2 linked regions of the Oryctolagus cuniculus genome follow. The protein of the gene in region 1 interacts with the protein of each later gene in a biochemical or structural test. Links are inferred from orthologs where the notes say so. Each region holds a gene or a part of one and is shown on either strand. Other genes may lie near its edges.

Region 1 (2,613 bases):
CGCTAGTGTTTAGTTTTGATTTTCACTTTATTTGAAAGACAAAGGAATCTTGGATGCACTGGCTCACTCCCGCGCAGGGCGGCCGCGGGCTCCCTGTTCCCGCGGTGGTCCTGGGAGACGGGGCTGCCCCACTGCCCAGAGGAGAGCAGGCCCTTCACTCGGCGCCCCCGACCCCTCGGAAGACGCCGTCGGGAACCGTGAGGGGACCCCGACCAGCGGCGGGGAGACCCTCTGGGTGGCTGCCTGGCGCCGTCGGGCAGGGTCCGGAAGCTGACCTCCAGGCTCCGCCCCAGCCCTGCCCCGGGCCTTCCCGGGGGCACACCTGGCTGGGAGCGCTGCCTTCTGCTTCCGGGAGTGGTTCTAGGTCTTTCTAAGCCTGGGGGAGGGGAGGGCTGGCGGAGCCGGCGGCAGACCCGGGCGCTCACCGAGCCCGTGCGTGCTGCGCCCGCTACCGAGCGGCTGAGGGCCAGGATTAGCGCCCCGTCCAGGGCACCCCAAGGTGCCCACCTCCTGGGGCGATCGGGTGAAGAACCCGAAGTGCCCCGGCGCCCGCACGCGCACCCAGCTCGGCGCGGCCTCTCCCTCTGCAGGGCTCGGGACGGGGTGCTCCGGGGCACCAGAGGCCCCGCCGAAGGCGCGCTCGTCGCCGAACCCACTCCCGCTGTGCCGGACGCTATGCGGCGCACGGTGCAAGCTCATTTCGTGCACGAGGCCTCGCTCGCTATCGGGCCTCGGTGAGGACTGGGGGGACTCCTGAGAACTGAACCGTCCCCGTCCGCGGAGGGGACCGGGCGTGCGGCCGGCGTTGGTGAGACCCACGCCGCCGCGCCCCAAACCCCTCTCCGCAGGCGCCGGAGCTATGGAAACCCGGAGCCGCCACAGCTCGTACCCTGCGGACGCGGACGACAGCGAAGGGGCCGAGGAGGAGCCCAGCCCCTTTCGGGGCCGCTCGCGCTCGGCGCCCCCCAACCTCTGGGCTGCACAGCGCTACGGCCGCGAGCTCCGAAGGATGAGCGACGAGTTCGAGGGCTCCGTCAAGGTGAGCGCGAGCCTAAGAGAAGCGGCAGCTCCAGGCTGCCTCCCAGCAGCTGGCCCCTTCCGGAGTCCCAGGGCATGCCGGGACCTGTAGTCCGGACCAACGCTCTCTGGAGCGCGGGGCATGCTGGTATCTGTATTTCTGGCCAGCCCCTTCCGGGTGCCTAGGTTCTTTAGCTCCGGCTTCGGAGCCGCCACTTTCACTTTGAATTGCGGTCTCGTCTTATAGATGCTAGTTCTCCGGCTCTTAACGGATTCTAGGCGGCACTTCCAGTGCGATACGGCCGGTTCGGCCAGTTCCCATTCCCAAGGTCCCAGCATCCTGTGCCTCCCGGACCGCTCAGTACGGGGCATGCTGGGAACTGTGGTCTTTATTGTTCTCCCGGGGATTCCGGAAGTGAGAGGACCCTGACCGGAACCGCCGGGGAAAGGCGACTCATTTAACCCTTTCCTCTTCCCATCCCAAAGGGACTGCCTCGCCCGAAGAGCGCGGGCACAGCGATGCAGATGAGGGAAAGCTCCAGCTGGACGCGCGTCATCCAGTCTTGGTGGGATCGCAATTTGGGGAAAGGAGGTTCCGCCCCTTCCCAGTGACCTTCGGCCCCACAGTCCCGAAACCCAGTCCGCTGCCGTCGGCGGCGGCGGCCATCTCGGGTGTGGGCGGAAGTCCCGCAGTCTGGACGCCCGAGCCCCTTCCGGTGCGTGCCGCAGCCGTCGGAGTCCCGGCGTTCCTCCGGAAGTGGCCCTGCGGCCCCGCCCGGCGCAGGTGGCGAGCCGGGGCTAACGGCTGCTCCGCCGGAACCTTCCCCCGCGGGGCGGCGCGGCCGACGCGCGCGCCCCAGGGCGCCAATAAAGCCAGCCTCTGTGCCGCCGAGTGTCCTCTGTCCGTCGTTTGGGGCCCCGAGGCCCAGGGTCGCGCCGTCACGGAGGCTGGGCGAGGGGCCGAGGCGGCGCGCGGCCGGACGCAGGGCCTCGTCCCCAGGGTGGCGACCAGGCGCCGCGGCCGCCGGCGGCCGGAACCCTGCGGGCTCCCCGGGGAGGTCACTGTTCCTAGCTGGGTCAGGCCCCGCGAGCGGCTACTGTGCGGCCGGCCGGGGGCCAGCGCCGCTCAGGGACCCGGCAGGAGGCGCGGCCCCGCGGGCCGCGAGTGGACCCCCATGCGGTGCCTCCGACGGGGAGACGGGGTCGGCCGTGGGGGCGCGGAGCCGGCGGCGGGCGCGCAGGAGGAGGAGGGCCGGGAGTGACCCTGGGCCCCTCGGCCCTGCTCCTCTGGCCTCCCCACCCCATCTGCCCGAGGCTGCAAAAAAAAAAAAAAAAAAAAAAACAAAACTAAAAACAGCAAAGCAAGCACTCGATTGGCGGAGAGCAGGCCCGCTAGCAGGCGGCTTCCTCGGGAGGAAGCGGGAGCGGAGAGCCGGCCTCGGGTGCCAGCCTGCCCTGCCCGCACCGGCGGCCTCCGGGCTGGCCAGCACGCCGGACTTCCGCCCTGGGCCTCAGTACGCTCATCTGTGAAACAGGCACAGCTCTCCCTCCTGCCGGGTACGCACGCCTGCCTTGGCCGGTTCTGAGCTGGCCCGG
Region 2 (4,256 bases), about 62 Mb from region 1:
TGGCCAGTCACATAAGGAGTGAAGGGCTCAGAGACATGAAGAAGTGTGTATTGCGAGAATGTTAAATAGTATTTTAGTGTGGCTGGAGGAAAAGCTATATGATGAGTGATGGAGCTGAAAAAGTCAGGTTGTGAAGTCCCAGGTTAAGGATTTTAGACTTTATCCTGAAAGCAATAAAAACCTTTCAGAGTGTTTAAATAGAGGAGGACATCATCATATTTGTGGTGGTCAGTGGATTGGATCTGGAGCAACTGAAGGTTGCGCCAGTAGTTCATGTGATGGTGGAGGAAGAGAAGGGCAAGGACCTGCAAAGTAGAATTGACAAGACCTGACGTCCAGTTTGGTAGGCAGGTAGAGAGAATCTGGACTTTCGTCCAGGTTTCTGTTTTCACTGACTGCTGGATTGTGTGGTCGATTCACTGAGACCAGGAAGGCACAAGAGTCGCAAGGTTGGAGGGAAATGACTGGTAATAGTCAACATTCCAAAGGGCTGACTATGCTTAATTGTCACTATCATTTTTATGGCTTCAGGTAGGCTTAGAGAGATTAAGTTAAGGATACACAAGTACCACTTATTATGGAGAAAGTATGGTTTAAAAACGTTAAGATCCTATTACTAACATTTATATGGATGATACGTATTTGAAGCAAGACAATCTTGTTCCAGACTTTCAGCCACCAATGCTGTCCAGTACTGGACACGTTGAATCTGAGGTACAACAATGCATGCAGGTGAACGCTGTGGGGGAGGTTTTGGTAAATACATAATCTTTGCTCCAGGGCAAGGTTTGGAGAAAGTAGACATCATACAAAGAGAAAAACGGGAAAGGAAGCCATTTTTTTTTTTCTGTGTCAGGTCACCATGGTTATCCTTTGTCTCCCCACTTTGGCTCCCACATCCTACCCAAAGAAAACAATTAGAATCATAGATAATGTGGCTCTGAGATCACACGAAACCGTTTTCAAATTCAGTCCTTGGAAATGAGCTAACGAATGCGGTGGTGCTTTGTAAGCAGCAGTCCCTGAATCCTGAGGGTTAGCCGCCTTTTTCCGATTGCAGCCATCCCAGAAATTGCCCAAAGGTTTTCAGTCACAAAGTCCATAGCAAAGAAACCTGCGGCGGGTTGAGAGCACCCGCAGAGAGCAGAGGAGCGGGCGCAATGACGTCACAGGCAACCGGGTGATTCCCCAGCCTCTGGCGTCATGAGGCGATGACGTCATCCCGGCGCTCGCCCTCCCCCTCGCCTGGGCTGGTCTCGCTCACGTGGGCCAGCCGGCCCTCCCCGCCCCCTCCCACCTGCGGGAGGCGGGGCGGGCAGGGCTCCGCCGGCGCCGAGGCCTCACAGGGGCGGGGCGGGGGCCGGTGGGCGAGGCGGTCGGGCCCGGGAGGCGGCTTACAATAGGGCGCCTGCGGCGGGGCGGCGGCGGGCAGCGGCTGCCACTGGAACTGAAGGTGCCGGCTACACAGTGGACGCCCCCTCACGGCTGCCCACACACGCCCTCCCCCTCAGCTCGCCCATCGCGCCTCCCCGCCTCGCTCTGCTGTCCTACTCCGGAGACACTTTGCCCTCGGACTCTTCTTTTCTCCGAACCCCGCAGTCCCCAAAATCCCGCTCAAAGAACTCTGCCTCCCCATCGACTTCCCACCTCCCTCCGAGGCCGTCCGAGCCCCTCACATCCCCGCCCCTCTCAGCCCACCGAGCCGGCCCCGCAGCGCCTCCTCCCGCCTCACCGCCCCCTCCCTCGCAGGTCCCTCGGTCCTGAGGGGATCCCCAGAGCCAGCGGCCGGGGGGAGGCGCGCGGCGGCGGCGGCGGGAGGGAGAAAGTGAAGCGGCGGCTCGCGCACACTCGCGCGCTCACCCCCGGCCCGGCCGCCGCCACCGGGGTGGAGGAGCAGGAGGAGGAGCCGAGCGGAGCAGAGCGAGCACGGAAGGTAAGAGCCGGCCTCCGGTCGGTGCCCCTGGCGTTGCGGGCTGTCCCGGCTGAGGCGCGCGGTCGGGGTGGGCTGGACGGGGTGGGGGCCCTGGGCGCATTCATTCTGGGCGCCGGGTCCCGGCGGGCGGGGGCGCCAGGTGAGGTGAGGCGGGCGCCGCCCCGCGAGGCGGGCCGCTCCCGTCGGGCCAACAAAGGCCCCCTGTGCACGCACCCGCGCGACCGCCGGTCTCGGACGCCGGGACATCGGGGGGCCGGGAGGGGGGAGGCCCCGGCGGGGGAGGGGCCGGGCCGAGGCTGGGAGACCAGACAGGTCCGAGTCCGGGACCAGCTCCGTCCCGAACTTGGCCGTCCCGCAGCGCTCACCGTGGCCCGCGACGGGGAAGCCTGGCCACAGGGCGCCCGCTTCATTCTGCGTGGAAAAGTTCCCCAGTCCAGGCTTGGAGAGCCACCGTTAGGGTTCAACTTGAAAAGAAAACAGTAGTGCGATTTATGCAGCCCTTCCCCCATCCCGGGAGTACTCCCTAACTTAGGAAGGTGAAAACAATCGAGGAAGGGAGAATTATAGTTGTTTTGTATTAGCTATTCCATTTCAAAAGACATTATTACAGCGTTCACTGTTTTGAATATTTCAACGGTAAACATTACTGGCAGTGTTTTGGAAGAATACTTAAGAAGTACTGGGTGTGTGTCGGTGTTGCCAGTAAAATCCTTGTTAAACCCCTTGGATAATTGTCTTACACTTCACTGTATTTTTTAACTGTGAAAGGTGAAGGGAAAGGTTGGTATTGTGGTTACCAATAAACATTCAAATCCATCACTCTTGTCTTTAAAGAATTGTTCTTGGGAAAAATGTTTAATTTCGTCAACTGTGTATTTGAGCTTTCTCATCTCTTGTCAGGAGAAAACAGGAGTCCACAGTACAAAGATACCTCATTTGTCTTACCTTGTGGCTTTACCTACTTCCTGTGTGACCTTGAGCAGGTCACTTCCAGCCTTAAAATTCTAGGAGTTTGCTTTTGTGTCCCTGGAATGGGCAGGTAGGCAGCATACCTACTTCACTTTCAAGAGTCCAGTGAAGAATATGCCTCCCCCCAAGTCTTTGCTGGCATCTGTCCCCTCCCTCTCAGGTAGAGCTGACTTCTCCCCGTTGGGGCTTTCAGAGGCCCACTGAGATTTCTCCTATGGCACTTGTAGCATTTTAATTTCTGTTTGGGAAATCCTGAATCAGGTGCATATGAAACCTACCCCACATCAGCTCTAATTCTCAAAAAAGTTTTGGGAATATGGACCCTGAAACATTCCCTGAACCTTATACATACCTTTACGTGAGCTCGTGGGTCTACCTGGTAAAATTGCTTATTCAGTTATTCTCTTATCCATTATTACTGGAATCTGCTTCAAGCCTCTTGCCACAGCCATGGGGATTTCAAGAGTGTTAAGACCTTCCTTGTCTTCAAAGAGCTCAAAGTCTAGTGGGTGAGGTAGACAAGTAAACAATGCAGCCTGCCCTAATCTCCGGGGGACTTCAGTTGTACAGGGAGTAGTGTGCAATAATTGAGGTTGCTGGACCTGTTTTACAAGTTTGCTTCTGGCCAAATTGAGTTCTTCAGGCTGGCCCCTCATCCATAAGAAAAAGTAAAATTCTACATACATTTATTGAGCACAGGTTTTGAGACTCTGTATAGACTTGAAGGAAGCAGCACCTCAAAGGAAGGCATTTGTGTAACCACAGGGATTTTGTAAAACAAAGCGTAATCACTTAAGTAATTCCTACCTCTGACTATTCATTGTCAAAAGATAAATTTCAGACTCCTTAGCTTGGAACTAGAAACTGGAGATCTGAGCATTGTCTACCTTTGCAGCCTCAGTTTTGGTAAACTCTCTCCTACCACTTTTTTCTCATCTGTGCTTCCCCTTGTGCTGTTTCATCTGCCTAGAATGTCTGCCTTCTTCACCTTCCCTGCCTACAGAGGTGTCCTTGTAATAAGTTGCCTTTCCATCCTCTGGCTCATGTACACACCACGTTTTTAGTTCTGTCTGGCACTGTATTACAATTATGTTAAGTCTGTGCTTATCTTTTTTCACTAGCCTGTGAATTTCATGAGGGCATGATCTGTTTAGTTTTAGTGGCTAGCAAAGGACCTGGCATTGAATAAGTGTTTAAATGAATGAATATGTGTATAAAGAATAAAGTCAAGGCCCATGAGTTAGAGATTCCTAATAGTTTCTCAAAGTGTGGTCCCTGGATCACAGCTTCAGCATAATCTGGCATCTTGTTAGCAAATCAGTGGGTACTAGTTGAAACCTACACATGAACAACT

What was found.
Region 2: of the proteins of BAD (region 1) and PAK1, one has a biochemical effect on the other in vitro, tested with the Homo sapiens proteins (3 studies listed by BioGRID). The link is inferred for Oryctolagus cuniculus from reciprocal best matches to the Homo sapiens genes BAD and PAK1.

The regions. Positions count from the first base shown.
Region 1 is NC_091432.1:7,043,448-7,046,060, forward strand, and holds the end of BAD (bcl2-associated agonist of cell death), read left to right. Parts: intron 1-848; coding exon 849-1,039; intron 1,040-1,503; coding exon 1,504-1,629; 3' UTR 1,630-1,904; downstream 1,905-2,613. UniProt on the Homo sapiens protein: Promotes cell death. Successfully competes for the binding to Bcl-X(L), Bcl-2 and Bcl-W, thereby affecting the level of heterodimerization of these proteins with BAX. Can reverse the death repressor activity of Bcl-X(L), but not that of Bcl-2.
Region 2 is NC_091432.1:68,610,628-68,614,883, reverse strand, and holds the start of PAK1 (serine/threonine-protein kinase PAK 1), read left to right. Parts: upstream 1-1,350; 5' UTR 1,351-1,933; intron 1,934-4,256. UniProt on the Homo sapiens protein: Protein kinase involved in intracellular signaling pathways downstream of integrins and receptor-type kinases that plays an important role in cytoskeleton dynamics, in cell adhesion, migration, proliferation, apoptosis, mitosis, and in vesicle-mediated transport processes.